Caenorhabditis elegans: one gene and its partner. The protein of the gene in region 1 purifies or fractionates together with the protein of each later gene. This does not show direct contact. Each region holds a gene or a part of one and is shown on either strand. Other genes may lie near its edges.

Region 1 (9,537 bases):
CTTAGTAGATGTCACTTTTTGACTGTCAATAAAAGTTATTCAAAAAACTTTGAAGTTTTTGCGATTTTTATATTTTCCCCCACTGGCCTGGCTACTCCACATTCAAAAAACCAAAAAACCAAAAAAATGAAAAGTTCACCTCGGTGGCCATACTCTACAAAGTCCAGTGTCCTCGTCAAATGCCTGTGGAGTCATTGCGCACGCCTGTTTCTCGGTTGGAAGATCACAAATCCGGTCGACAACACCGATTGAATTGCCTCTAAATATGAATTGTTTATTGTTGTGCGTGTTGCAATTGTCACCCTTACCCAGCTACATAATCACATCTGGGTGAACACGCGACTTGAACATTGCACATTCCGCATGCCGTCGCCGATTTGTTGAAGAGCTCCGCGTAGTCCATCACTTTCTGAACGATTGGGTTACCGATTCCTGTGATGAGGGACATGTAACGGTTTTGGTAGCATTGCTGGGGAAGCGTACGCCAGAATGATCGGTCTGCAGTGCTGAAAATGGAAGAGCAGTGGAAAACTAGGCCATTAAAATGTGTTGACATTGTGGGTGTTGATTTATGTACGAGGGAAGATTTTTAAATGAAAAAAAAACAATTTCCAACATCTTGGTTTCATTGATTATTTTTTACATGGACGGTTTAATTGCTATGATTTTCAAATTTCTTGAGCTTGACCGAGTTTTCTCTGCCCGCGACCCCGTGGTAAGCGTCGACCTATGTTAAAGATTCAGGTGATATTTTAATGATAAGGTCAAATGATAAGAAAAACGTGATATCAATATCTTTAAAGAAGAAAAGTTTTCAAAAATTGATTTTGGAAATTGAAAAAAAAATTTTGTAGCAATTTTGAAAAATAGGAATTTACAAACAAAACGGGACCGTCATAGAGAAAATTCGGCCACCGATTTTTCAGCTGTTACGTCATGATTGCCGCCTTATGTAATAGATTTTGTTGATAGTTTAGAGTTTCTTAAATATACGGGAAAAAAAGCTTTGGACAAGCGAATTTTTTAAAACTGCATGGGAGCCCACGACCCTCCCCACCAAAAATGTTGGTTTTTCTCCTAAAAATCACCTGAAACAAGGTCCATATTCACTCCAATCATGACAATTTGCTGTTTTTCCCGCCTGAGATACCGACGAGAACGCCGAAGCCAAGAAAGCGTCAGCAGTCGGTGGTCCAGTTGCAAGTGAAGCCAAAACTGAGAATACTAGAAAACGAGGGACCATATTTTTGGAAAGTTTATAAGGATTATATCAGACTGAGATGATTGTGGATTTGTGTAGTTGATAAGCGAGAAGAAAAGATAAGGGAAATTCGCGCCTGAATCGGGTGTCGGAATCGAAAGTGTGGAGGCGGCGTAGCCTCCTCGGGACACTGTGGGGAGGGGGAGAAACCGGAATCCCGGGAAGTGATAGATGAAAAATAAAAAAAAGAGAAATGAAAAAGTTACCATTTATTAGGTTGCAATACAATACAACACACTTTTTACAAACAAACAAATAAAAAATTATCGATATTTTTTTTGAAATTTTTTTTTTCGAAAAAAAAGTTTTCTTTCAAAAAATTAAACATGTTCAAAAAGAATAAGCATTGCTCATATTACGATCAGCAATCTCCTCTTCGAGCATCCGAATGCGACGTTCGTGTTGCCGAAGCACAGCTTTCATTTTCATCAGATCTTCCAAAAGCTCATCCATGTTCTGAGGCACGTGCTGGAAATTTTTTATTTAAATTAATTTTTAAATTATACAAGAATTTTCACTATAACACCTTTGTAAATTTTGAAACAAAAAAGGGATTTTGGAGTTGCCTGGCTTTCTGGGGCCTTTAGAAAAGTTAGGCCACCCGTTTTTGGATAAGAAAACTTTTTGAATAATTAATTTTTCGTTAGAAAATAAAAAGGGCAAAATTGGATAAAAATTAAATTCTCAAAATCTAGGTCACGATAGTATTACTGGTGGCCTAGAAAATAAAAAATTTGAATTTTTAATATGTCGGTCCAATTTTTGGAAGAAAAACGAATATTATTATAAAACACAAAAACAATAACAACATATTAGAATGTACATTTTAGTAGTGGGAAAATCCTAGGCTACGGTGGGGCTTTTCATGGCCTAGAATTCGATTTCTAGGCCGTGGCGTTTAAAGATTTCAGTTGATGTTAATGAATTTGGAAAATTGGTTTTTCGAATTTTATTTCTATTTTTGAAAAACATATTTTATAGTTATTTTTTGAAAATTAGAAAAAAACGTTGCTTGACATTTTTTTAATAAAATTAAAGTAAAACACTAAACTGAAATTTTTCAAAGCTTGTTTTAATTAAAATTTAATTTGTAAGTTCCCAATTCTTATTGCTGGAAACTCGGCCACGGCCCACAAAAATTGTTAATTTTCTTACTAATTGGTTAAAAGTCAACGTGTTTTTGTTTTCTAGAAAAACAACATTTTAGTTGGTAAGCACAGTAAAAAACACGTGCCCCTACGTCAGACGCAGCTGATACACTGCCACGTGGCGATGCAGAAGCTCGGGAAGAAGATGGAGGTGGAGCTAGAGTGTTGTCCTCATCGGCGGTTCTTGACTGATCTCTCTTGATCCTTTCCAACTCGGCGGCGGCTCTTCTCTGACCGGCAGTTTGAGCACCGCCTCCGGGCTCATCACGGGCGGCACGGGATTTCAGTTGAACCTGGAAAAATGGAAAAGGTGAAAGTGATAGGATGGTGCTTTTTTGGAGAAGTGGGGATCATTAGCATTAGTTTTTTTTTAAATAATTTAGTTCAAAAGAAGCGATCGGCAAAATCCCTAGGCCACGAGAGCCCAGTTGGTGGCCTAGAACTTTTGAAAATTGATTTTGGCAAGGTTTTCAATCAAAATTGAGTAATGAATGTGCAGTTTTTGTTAGTTGAAAATCCTAGGCCGCAAATTGAATACACATGAGCTAGAAAAATTCACATTGAGAAATTTGGATTTCCTAGGCCACGTGCGAGCACTTGGTGGCCTAGAAGTTTCAAAAATGAATTTCAATACAATTTGTGACTTAAGTTTATTAGATTTAGCAGTTATAATCAGCTGAAAATCAAAGGCCCCCACATTCTCGGGCGTGGCAAAGGTTTTTTAAATGAAAATTAGGCCACGCCCTTGCAAGTGGCGGGCTAAGTTTTTTTCAGCCACGCTTGATAATATGGTGGAATAGAATTTTCCGGCGACCTCGTTTTTGATAACATATTTGAAAATATTTCCAGCGGGATAGAAAGGGATTATTGGGGGATAAAAATTCTTGACCGTCTTAAAAAAGTCATGAAAGAAGTTTTCCTCGTCAGTGGACTAGAATTAAATTTTTAGGCCATGATTCAATTCCAAGGCTAGAACAGCAAATTTTTAAAACCAAATTTTAAATTAATTCAAGTTCTAAATTTTACAAAAAAAAAAGCTCACCGCCTGTTTCGGCTTCATTGGATCAACCTTGCTCTCCTCCTTTGGGGGAATTTCAGTTCGAGAAGCTCTTGATGAAGCTGGACGACTTGGCGGTGCTTCTCTCATTGTAACAATTCCCATATCATCGTCAACAACTGGACGAGGTCTCGGGGATGCAGATGGACGTGGTGATGGTTGTTGAGATGACGGTGGACGTTCAGAGTAGGATTGGGTGGGTACTGATTCGGCGCTGGAATTTTAAAAAATTTGATATTAAAGAAAAAGAATTTTCAATAAAAAGTTATGTCAAAAAATTAGAAATTATAATAAAAATTAATTTTTATTTTCAACTCTCCAGCATTTTTAATTTCTGAAAACAAAATTCTTTAGAAAACCGAAAATTTAGATTAATGGCATTGTTTTTTGTTGGCATTTTCATATTTTTTAAAATGTTTTCTGAAAGGTTTTTTATGTGATATTTATTTCAGATTTTTGCCACCATTTCAGTTTTTTGTTGGAGATTCTAAGCCATATAGTTTCAAGTTTGGCAGGAAATAAGTTTTTTATTTATTTAAATACTGTAAAACACAATAGAAGACTTTTTTTTGGTGGTTTGGTGTTCGAGTAGGAATTATTAAACATTCTTGAATTTTTTTAAAAAGAAACATTTTAGAAAAAATATGTTGGTTTAATTTTCAAAACGAGTTTGTTTTCAATATTCTTAAAAGTAAAATTTATTCGCTTTACAATTTCCAAAACAAATTTAATCGAACCTAATTTTCTCTAAAAATTTAAAGCGTTTTCACTTTTTCAAAAACTCACGCAGTCGGAGCCAAAGTGCTCAAAATATTGGCTTTCTTGGCTACCTGGACCTTTGGTTTGGCGGCAGCTGCAGCAGCGGCTGCATTTACTGGCTGACGGTTTGGTGCAGCATTTTTACCTGAAAAATACACTGGACAATTAAAAAATAAAGAAATTTCCAGCCAACCTTCCATGAACTCTTCTGCGGTAAGGGCTGGGATGGTGGATCTGGTATCCGGATAGAGATCGTGCTGGAATATGGGTTCAGTTAAAAAATTGTAGGAAATTTTTCAAAATAATTTTTCGAGCCAAAATTGTTAACCTACAACTTTTCAGAACAAAACCTTATTTCAAAACTCCGCATACCTGGAAAAGATCCGATTTGCGCGGTACAAAGAACTGCAAAATATCCACAACTCCCTTCGTAGTCAACTTATAAATCCGATTAATTTCATTCTCCTCCGACGACATTCCTCTCTTCGACTGGAATCCAACAGCTCTTTGCGGCTCATTTGTAGTGTAAGTATTAATATAATGTACGTACGGAGCATCGTTGTTAACCTCATAGTACCGAATAGCACAATCTCCCTTTCCAACAAGGTACACCAAACCGGAATCTTCATCGTAAAACGGGAAGACGACTCCATTCGAGGTATCCAGCTCCTCTTCGACAATTGGGGTTGACAGATCTTCCGGGGCTCGGAGAGCATACAATCTTTCGGATCTTTTGGTGAAGCCCGTGCTCAAAATGAGCCCATCTTTCACAAAAATGGCTCGCTGCGGCTTGACACCCTCATGACCCATTCCCTCGTGAACAACCTCTCCGGTGTGTGAGTCAAGAATACGGATCTTCTTGTCCTTGCAGGTAGTCACAAATTGACTACCGTCAAAGTTGAAGTTGATGCTCCAGATTTGATCGGGGTGCCCGGAGATTTCGAGGAGTGCCTCTCCGGTTCCAACGTTCCACATAAACATTACGTTTTCTCCGCCTGGAAAGTAAAATTACAGTAAATTCATTTTTACTTGGGTTACTGTAGGGATATTCTAGATTCTGGTAGTACAGTAATCATATAGTACTCTAACAAAATGTCCAAACATAGATCGGCTGGTCTCTAATAAGCCTCAAAAATTTCCACTGAAAAACTACCTGAAGTTGGCTAAACTTGATAACAATGTACCTATAATTGGGTGAGAAGTTGCGGCAAAATTGCCGAGAAGTACGTCTACACCAATATTACAGTAACCCTAGATAGCCTAACTTATCGACAGTAACCCAAAGAAATCCCAAAACATCATCAGTAATCTTACAGTATCCATAATTTTAATTTTCACTAACCAGCAGTAAGAAGAACATTATTAGCGACCGGATGCCACGCAATGGTGTTAACTCTCTTCTGATGACCAGTCAACTCGACAGCTGGTTCTGAGAGATTTCTGTTGAGCCCACGATCCGGAATCACCCACACTTTACATGTGGTGTCTTCGGAGCACGATGCAATAACATTGTCGTTGAACGGGCTCCATGCGACTTCGAGGCACGGAGCCTTGTGAGCATCCACGAATGGATAGTCCTTGTCGACGCGACCGATCTGGAAATATTTGGCATTTTTTGGATAGCAGGAACGTGAAATGTCGGCTGCTTCAATTTAAGTTTCCAGAGAAATTGAAAACTTTAGTAACCAAGGAAGATTTCAAAATGGTGTTTTTGCAGATACACAGCTATAGGTGTAGGTTTTTCACAAAATTTCAGTTAACTTTTTTTTTAAAAATTATTGATCTTCTAAAGGTTTATTCAATAATTTTTTAAAAGTTTTTGTTTTCCGACCCCTTAGGTAACAGGTGTTGTTGAGTTGCTGATCATCATGCTCGGAAAAAAATAATTAAAAAATTAAAAATCCGGAAATAACATTTGAAAACACTTGTCAGGTGGGGTTTTTGTGTTTTATTTGTATAAAAAACTTACCTTATTCACTGGAATGACCATAAATGGTCCACCAGCCCCTCTGTTGATGAAGGCGATGAATTTCGGATTGACATCGCAGAATAATGAATCCCAAGTGATTTCTGTGACCTGAAAAGGTTGAATTCAAGTTTTTAAGGCGCCTTTAAATAGCGGGTACTGTATTTTCATATATAAATTTTTTAAACAATAAAAAACTATTTATTAATTAGTTTTCTATACTTTTAAAAATCTATTCAAATTTTTGGAAAAAAAAAGGTGTTTTCTTTTTTTAAACTTTTCTAAGAATATGAATTGGTATTTCAGAATAATTTTTAACGCAAAAGAAAATATCGGTGGCCGAGTTTTCTCTTTCACGGCCACGTGACAAATTCAATTTTTGGCATTAAATAACTCTCTAAGTTTAGAAAATAACTGAATTAACTGCGCATATATTTAAAGTTAAATAAAAAAATATGTTTCGCAGAATTTTTTTTGTTGAAAAAGGTATTTGATTTAGTGTTGGAGTTCTATGAAATTTTGAAAAAAATTAAAACATTTAAATTTCTTATTTTTCTGCGTTCTTAAATGTGCATTTCCACAAAAATCGAATCCAGGGGATTGTAAAAAATTTTTTTCAGATAAATTTAAAGGATGGAAGAAGAAAAAACTCGGCCACCGATTTTTTTGCGGCTACGTAGTAAAATCCGCTTTTCACAGTTTTCTAGGAGGTTTTTCTCTATAATATAGGAGTTTCATGAAACTAGTGATTTACCCTAATGTCAGACATGCAGCTCTCATGCTTGACGGGCTTACAGAACACGTGCCGGAATTTACTCTGCCGGACGATTTGCGCCATTTTCGATCTGAAAAAGGCTGAAGAATTGCAACTTTTCTAGTCAAAAGCGAAAAACGGCGAGAGTGTGTGAGAGCGGAGTAAATATGCAAGGATTTGCGGGTGCCTCCTGCTGCTCCTGTTGCTCTCCCGCAGGCAGCCCGGAGCCCCTGCAACTCGTCGGCTCCCGTGCTCTCTCCCATGTTACACTTTGTTGGCTCCCGCCATCGCCCCGTCTTTCGTTGAGATGCCTGCGTACTCTTGTTTAGCTAAAATCCTATGTGTCTCGGTGGCTATGGCAAATCCACAATTGATAACGTCGGGGGAGGGAATCGGAACACCCTTGACAAGTGTGCACAAAAAATGTGTGACGAAATGCGCGAAGTAATATAATAAAACTTTAAAAACTTTACTAAACAAAGTTCAAATTATTTATTTTTCTATCTCCTATTTTCTATTTCCCAAGTAACTCTTTGTTTTCTGCGGGGGCTCCGTGCCTCGGAGCTCGAATTTTCACAGTGCAAGCGCGCTCTACCGCAAAACAGGAGAGCGCGCGAGATTCAACTCGACTCACCCATTTTCTCATCAATTTCCTTCCTTTTTCCCGTCATAAAATGGCATACGAGTTCGATTTGGAAGATTTTAACGATAATCTTGAGCCATTTGGCTTTAATTGTCCCGCAAAAGATCATTTTATTGAAAAATGTAAGTTTTTATTCAATAATTATCGGAAAAAACATCAAAATATTGAATTTTTGCAGTAGAAGGACTATGCAAAACGTTCCGGAAGAGCGGTGAGGATATTGTCGATGATGTCGTTTCGGTGATGAGCAATCTTGGGCAAAAGTCCGTTGACTCTGGAATTTTGGCGAAATTAGAGGAGAATCTGGAGGCTCAGGCCCAGAAAACTGTGCACACGCCGAGATCTGTGAAAAAACCGGCGTAAGTAAAGGAAATCGCAGATTTTTGAGTGAAAAATTACATTTATCATCGAATTTTGCATTGGAACTCAAATTTATAGCAAAAATCTATTTAAAATGAGAAAAATCGACAGTTAAATGTTTTTTTTTTAAATTTTTTTCACGAAAATTCTCAAAAAAAAAAACAGTAAAAATAAAATTTATTTAGTGTTTTTTCTGTTGATTTTTGAAGACATTTTCGTTTTGTTATTAAAAAATTCGAAATCTAAAAATGTTTAAATTAATTTTTTCAGTTTTTTTTTTCAAAAAGTTTTTCGCAAACGCGCTTCACGGCCCAGTGAGAACGCTCCGCCCTCAACGGTTGGGTCTCGCTAGGTATTGGCGGCAAAACTGTAAATTCAAAAAACCTAACGAGACCCAACATTTTGCCGTAGAGCGCACTTGCATTTTGATAAAAATTTAATTTTTCTGCGCCCTAATAATATATCAATTTTCAAGTAAAGTCTCGAAAAAAACCGCATTAAATTTCAGACGCGGCCGTGTTCCGCTCGCAGAAAAAAGTGGATTCATCCTAAGTGGCGACCCCGATGACATTGAAAAACCGTCACATCACCTCACAAATTCAGCGATTGCAAAGCTTGAAGGACATTTTCTCGACTTTTCACCATTTCCCGGTTCCCCGGCTAATGAGAAATTCCTGAAAAGAGCCGATCCATCACATGTTGTCACAACTATTCGAGGGAAGAAGTATCAGGATAAAGGATTGAAAGGATCGACAAAAAGCGATGATACTATAAGAATTATCTCGAAAACGCCGAGTACATTGTATGGTGGAGATAAATCTTCTATGGTTATTGAAGGTAGAATTTTTTATTTAGAAAATGTTTTTCTCAAAAATTCTAATTACAGTACTCTTTAAAAGTGCACATCTTTTTGCATTTAACGAAAATTTTCGTGTCGAGACTCGTTACCGTATTTTTGGCACCAAATTTCGCTTATGAGTAATATTCAAGTTTTCACAAAAAAAACAAATTTTCAGCAAAAGCACAACGAATGGCAGATATCGCTCACCGTATCCAAAAATCATTCGAAGAAATTGTCGATTGGGGAAATCCATCGATACCGTCAGTTGATGTTGTATATACATATGGACAAGTGATTCATGATGAGACAAAGGATAATGAGAAATTTGGAGAGCATTCTGTTGCTCTTATGATTAGTGAGAATTCGTTTTTATGGGATTTTTTAGTTAAAAATTGAATTTTAGCCATGAAAAATTGTTAAAAATTTCAATTTCCAAAAGAATTTCTTGATTTTAAACTTCAAACTAATTAGGATTTCTGTTAGAAAAAAATCTATGAAATCTCAAAAATTGGAAATTTTTAATTGAAAAAACATATATCGAGTTTTTTAAAATAATTTTTTTTACAAAAAAAAAACGAAAGTTTCACAAATTTTGTTTTTATCAATTTTTTAAAATAATTTTTATAAGCTGAAATTTAAAATTTTCGAAATTTCAATGAAAAAGGCAAAATCAACTAATGAAAATTTTTAAGTTTTTTGAAAATCTTTTTAAAAAAATCGAAATTCAAAAACTTGAAAAAAATTTACG
Region 2 (6,082 bases), on another chromosome or scaffold:
GCACAATATTTTACCTCTAGAACTTCTACTTGGCCTCCGATAGTAAAACAGTTTGGCTTATCGGCTTGTGGTTCAAGTTTCGGGCCTCTCCTATCATTTCCAGACTCGAATTCTAACTTCTTTGTCCATTTACCACCTGAAAACCAAATAAGCTTTGGTTTAAAATCTCGTAAACCTACTTTTGCATGGTTGATGTTTGATGAGTTCAAGAGTTACACTCAGATCTTTTCCCAACTCAACGTTTTCCAACGCGTTGGAAATGGAAACGAAAAGACACGATGAAGCTAAGAAAACGACCAACATCTGCGACTGAAACCGATGCGCAAATGAAGGTGTCATGGCTTATGAAGTAAGCGACGAGGACGTGCCCTTCTTTCACACCCCTTTTCAGCTGGATTTTAGAATAGTTTACAGTGACGGTGGGGGTGAAAGGGGAATATAGATATGAATTGTACAAATGTGTAATAAAAGTCTGACAGCCATCAAAACCACTTTTCTCGTTTTTTCTTTCTTTTTCGTGTTACTTTTACCTCAATGTGAAATGATTGTCGGATGGCGTTTCGAGGTCATGAAGGTTATGAGATTCTGAAAAGATGAAGAGATTAAAAGAAAAGGAAAGGGGAAAAAAGTAAAAAAAAAGGAAAATAATGAATCAAAAGCCTTATGTCCTTCAACTAGTAGTGAGAACAAATGCAATAAAGTTTTACAGATGTGTTACATAAATATCACTTTATGATCTCTAACCAACAACATATATAGTTCCAGTTTTCCTTACTATTAGTAACTTTGCAAGATTTTTCTGTAGAATTCGTGTACTGTTGTATACACAAGAATAAAAATTCTAGAAGTAAAGGGTATACAGAATACTTTGAACAAAATCCCAGAAACATTTTGAGGCTAGCAAAATATTGAGGTTGTATTGAATAAAATGCATATTGAAGAAATGTAAAAAAACATACTCAAAAGGATACCAGACAAAACTGTTGTTTTTTACACAACGAGTCTTTGAGCACAGTATCACCATAAAGATTGACTGTTATTTATTAAATGTCAAGATCAATTTGCTTATCTAATTCATAATTTTTATTGTGTTTATTTCATAATTCACAAAAAATGAACCCGCATAAACGAAATGAATAAACATGAAGTTATCATCGTTGTTCATCCAAATATATTTTCTTATTTCTTCTTGGCTTGAATGTCGCTCAAGCTAATGGTTCCGTAAAGTTTGTGACATCCAACGAAAACTGACTGCTTTTTGATAATTTGATTGAATGGCAGATTCCAATAAGTTTGAGAGTCAACTGGCTCATCAGCGCCAAGTTTGCGAAGTTCACGGATGCGAGATTCTAGTTTTCGTTGAGAGCTGAAATTATTTCATTTTTCTATTTGTTTAAAAATTTTCTACTCGTGAAAAATAGTGTTATTTTTCATATAGCTGTAATGTATGTGACATATATGTCTCGAATATAGTGAATGGTTGTTAGATGGTATATGAAACTGTAAATCTGGCTAAAACCTATTTAATTTTCAGAACTTACACTAGAAGAGGTTTAATATCCTTGTCGAACAAATAAACGGTCACAAATAGACTAAGCTTTGGTGGACCATTTCCTTCCTGAAACACACTTTTTCTTTCAATAATTATTTTCATTTTGTCAAACCTGAGTAGTAGCAGCTAAAATGTGATCTAACGCGTCTTCTGAAATTCCCTGCCATTCCAACAATGCAGCTAATTTCGGAAGGCAGAAACGGAGTTCAACATTATCATATTCTCCTTTCTAAAAATAGTGTTATTGACTGCATCGTAAATTTTTTTTAACGATGTTGCTCACTTTTAATGGCTCACATCCTGCTGGTTTGCCGTTCACAACAAGTTGAGCTCCGAGAATTTTCGTGAGAGAGTCCAAAGAATCACATGGCCGGCAGTAGAGACTGAAACAGCAGTGTTTACGTCATTTTTTGGAAACAACAAAACAACAAATTTTCAAGTTCGAAAATTTAAATTTCGTAATCATCGAAATACAACTAAATCTTGTTGTTTGAAGTTATAACATAACGACAAATTATGATAGCGTAGTACGTGGAGAGATGGCCGAGCGGTCTAAGGCGCTGGTTTAAGGCACCAGTCCCTTCGGGGGCGTGGGTTCGAATCCCACTCTCTTCAGTTCTTTTTTTTTAATTTATTTTGCAGGTTAAACACTTATGTATGAAATTGTTATAGTTATACTTTTTGTTTTAAGAGTGACCTCTAACTTAAAACTTTTAGGTACTTCACAGCTGTTCATCTATCATTAACTGCTCAAAAGGCTTTTTTTTCATTTCCTAATGTTTTTTCTAGCTCTAGAATCTTGATGATTTCCCTAATATTTCTGTCAATAACTCATTACCATGATCCAACACCTCCACAACCAGTGTCCGGATTGGCATCCCTGCACACTTCCGGTGGTCTTTGAGTGTCACCAGTGGTCGACACGGACAAGTAGATCAACAACTCGTCGCTCACATCCTCATGAATTTTCACTTTTCCCTAAAGAAAATGAATTATTATTATTATTGTAATAACGTCAATCATCAAGCATTGTTATTGTTTTTCAAAAATCAAAATAAAACACTCTTGGGGGCTAACTCACACTAATTGCATAGCACCCTTTCTGTTCAGTTGACTTGAGTAGCGCTCCACTATCCGAGTGGCCACCCTGGAACTCGATTTTGCGGTTCCAGTGAGAACCTGTAACACGTAAAGTATTAAAAAAGTGACAACGATAGTTTAATAATTACTTTTTCTCCATGCACAACTTTGATGTCTATGAAGGTTTAAGTTCAGATACTGAGTCGATGCAAATCCAAACAAAATTGCCAGTAATATCAGGCAGTTTGTAATCATGACAAATCTGTAAGATACCGTTTATGTAAAAATTTACAGAAAGTTACAAGAACAGTATAGAAAAAGTCACAGAAGTCACTGAATTCAAATAGTTCCATCATCGAAACATCTTCATATCTAATATTTGAATCAATCTTAGTTTAGCATTTAATGCAAATGCGGCAAGAAAGTAGCTGTGAAAAAGAAAAATCGTCAAATGGGGCAAAACGATACGAATGGAAGGAACCTGTTACGTAAGCTTAGAGATCTGTCTAAGCATGAAAAAAGAGAATCGGGTATGATATGCATTGTTGAAGGACCTAGACTTTCAATCAAAACGGGACTATGGCAGAGACCACAAGGAAAAATAAACTGAAATAAGGAAGCGAAATGTTCTACGATGACTGACCAGGAGAACATTGAAGATTCCAATGGTCTTTGATTTAGTGTTCACCTCGTCGTCGTCCGCCCTAATTTTTCAACTTGTCATAAAATTTGATTCCTCTGGAATTTCACAAAAGAAAACTAGTTACGAGAACAAGAACTAATGTGGAACTTTTAATGGTGTGTACTAGGTGTGTTTGAGAAGGGAAATATTTGTGACGCTTTACAAAATCAGTGTTCATGTGACTATCTTTTCAAATCGACTTCAAAATGTTGTTTGTAAGAATGGAGACCTAAATGAATGATGGAGTTTGTGGGCAAAAAATCTCAAAAACTACAGAAACAATGTCAGAAATAACGCAACAGTTATTTGTAATTTTATAATACTTCGGTTCTCAACTATAGAATATTTGGGAAACTTAGTGGAAAAATAATACCGCCGGCATATAGAATAACTCTTAAACTACTTTGGACGAATTAATGTTTTAACAGTGGTCGCAAGAGCATTCGAGCTAATGAAGTTTGGCAAACAAAGATTTTTTTGTGGACTACAAATTATGATAGGCATAATACCATTAAGCCCAATAGTGGCTGGGTGAACCTAGGGGGTGAGGCCGGACTTGAACTTATGACCTCCAGATTTCTAGCGGTCACCACTACCGACTGAGCTATCCGCCCCCCGAAATACAATTTTGTAAAGCAAAATTAAAAAATATATCTTTTCATTTTTTCACGTATCAATCATGTTTGCGCAATTTAAAAAATGAACTTTAATGAAAAAAAATCATAAACTTATATAATCTTGCAAAAACCCCTTGATAAGAAAAATGAGTCATTGAACGATTAAAACATAAATAAAAATTTCCACTAGCTTTAACCAAAAGTCCACACTTTTTCATCTTGCGAATACACAGTTTTCACACCCGTCTTTATAATCATTTTATACACTTTCTGTAATGCTGGCAATTCGCTTGAGTGCACTTGAATAGCAAAGGTTCACGCTTGGACAGAAAAGTGTGACGAAAGATATTGTGGAAGGGCAAATGAATGGTGGGCCGACACGCAGGGCAAAAAACGAATAATACTAAGAAATTGTGGAAGACGATAAAGACTGCGAATTGGTCGGAAACGAGAATTTGCCAAGAATCCCCTCATCTCCTTTCACCAACTAACCGCGGATAATAGATAATAGGTGTGAATCATTATTATTCGATCAGGAAACGATGCGCTATGCAAAGTGTTAGCTGGTCTGCTTGCGTTACATTCAGGTATACAATTTTTGCAGGAAATCACGCACATACACATCTGAATGTCACTTTATGTACAGTGTTTTAGACAAAACCAGTTTTAATACTGCGCTTGTGATAGTTGTACCAAATTCTGAATTTGTGAATGGCCAGGTATACATACTAGAGCTTAAAACTGGACTAAATTTTATTTGATCAAAACTGATTAGCAAAATTTTATTACAAATTAAAAGGTTTATTTCACGGTTCATTTAAAGGCGTAGAAATAAATTTGGGCACACATCAACCTACTGAACATGCATTTTAATCAATGGAATAATTGTGCACTAAAATAGTTTTATGACAAAATAACCTTGACAATATTTTAGAAAACTCCAAGATGTAACAAGTGTTAAGTTTAAGGAAGTCCAATGCAAAACCTTATATAAAGGATTAGGCACGTCTTGCAATTATAAAAAAGTATCCCACTGTTGAGCATCTCTTCTGACATTTCAAAAAAAAATTTAACAAAAAAAGGTGTAACCAGACTTGAATTTCCTTTATTAGTAACTGCTCGATTATAAATTTAAATAATCGGGACGTGGTTGAAACGCTTTAATTTTTTAAGCTATACTCGGTTGACAGAAAATAGACTGTTTGTATGATGGAAACTTTGTATCACAGCTCTAACAAAACAGCTTTATTTCACCAAAAGTACAAGGACTGGAGGAAAGAAAAATTGTATCAACTATCTCATTTCTGCACCTTCAACGCCCCCAAAGCCGGCTGCTGAGTTGAAGTTTTGGCCGGATTCCTGCTTTCGCCACCCGCTCCATTTTCAGATTGTCATCAGAAAACACTTCCTCATTTTCAGTCTCATGTTGATTCAACGACTGTCTTGAAGTCTTGGCCAATATTGTGGTCTGCAATCTGATTCGATGAAATCTTGGAAACAAGAATCATAAGTGAACAGGAAGGAGTGGATTCCAAGTAATTTGTTTACCGTTTCGAATTTATTCTCATCTTTGATCGTTTTCTCGGATGATTCCACCGGCCACATCACCATGAAATCTTCAGGAATCAGAGGGATGTCCTGAATTAAATTAAATTGAAATAAATGAAATGAGTCAGTGGTTTATTGAAAACACACTACATTTGATTGCACCTGCTAACTATAAGTTTTAAAATTATTTAGGGATGACAAATTTCCTCGTGATTCTATCTTTGCCAAAAATTAACAATTCCACCTGCATTAAACTCGTGGCCAAAACTTCAAAACATTAGGATTTCTCAAGTGTATCAATAGAATAGTGTTGTTCCAAAAAAAAAAACGCTTTATGTAAATTCAAAAAAAACACAGAAGTGAAGAAGTAAAATTTCCTTGACTCACCCTTTCAAAATTCCTCAGCCCTGAAGCATGTGCCCGTTTGCCCCAAAGAATACTGGACCTGCGGAGCTCCCCGTTTATAGCTCGTTTGTGCGTGATGAACCTCTGAATTTAGATTTTAAAATAAAAAATCTGACATCCATGAAAGCTTACATCAAAATGCGCCATGTCGTCACCACCCCCAATGCCTCCAAACTTCCTCATTTTCCAATCCTAAAC

What was found. Proteins that work in one complex are often made in the same cells at the same time.
Region 2: the proteins of cor-1 (region 1) and gmap-2 fractionate together in Caenorhabditis elegans (co-fractionation; one large-scale study listed by BioGRID). This does not show direct contact.

Annotation. Positions count from the first base shown.
Region 1 is NC_003281.10:10,246,629-10,256,165, reverse strand, and holds cor-1 (Coronin-like protein cor-1), read right to left. Parts: upstream 7,056-9,537; 5' UTR 7,030-7,055; coding exon 6,946-7,029; intron 6,715-6,945; exon of another isoform or gene 6,694-6,714; intron 6,303-6,693; coding exon 6,195-6,302; intron 5,821-6,194; coding exon 5,568-5,820; intron 5,221-5,567; coding exon 4,598-5,220; intron 4,483-4,597; coding exon 4,419-4,482; intron 4,371-4,418; coding exon 4,253-4,370; intron 3,681-4,252; coding exon 3,452-3,680; intron 2,703-3,451; coding exon 2,496-2,702; intron 1,730-2,495; coding exon 1,592-1,729; 3' UTR 1,457-1,591; downstream 1-1,456. Other genes in the region: R01H10.4 (uncharacterized protein), read right to left, coding at 140-259, 309-506, 1,089-1,243; div-1 (DNA polymerase alpha subunit B), read left to right, coding at 7,620-7,710, 7,767-7,947, 8,457-8,785, 8,965-9,144. UniProt on the Caenorhabditis elegans protein: Required to direct the migration of Q neuroblasts along the anterior axis of the body during larval development. This is dependent on its asymmetric expression in Q neuroblasts.
Region 2 is NC_003284.9:12,940,373-12,946,454, forward strand, and holds gmap-2 (GM2 Activator Protein family member), read right to left. Parts: upstream 2,895-6,082; 5' UTR 2,888-2,894; coding exon 2,782-2,887; intron 2,732-2,781; coding exon 2,634-2,731; intron 2,531-2,633; coding exon 2,391-2,530; intron 2,168-2,390; exon of another isoform or gene 2,086-2,167; intron 1,936-2,085; coding exon 1,836-1,935; intron 1,782-1,835; coding exon 1,665-1,781; intron 1,619-1,664; coding exon 1,542-1,618; intron 1,367-1,541; coding exon 1,180-1,366; 3' UTR 1,070-1,179; downstream 1-1,069. Other genes in the region: gmap-3 (GM2 Activator Protein family member), read right to left, coding at 15-136, 180-339; nssp-88 (Neuropeptide-Like Protein), read right to left, coding at 5,244-5,399, 5,480-5,569, 5,867-5,968, 6,017-6,076.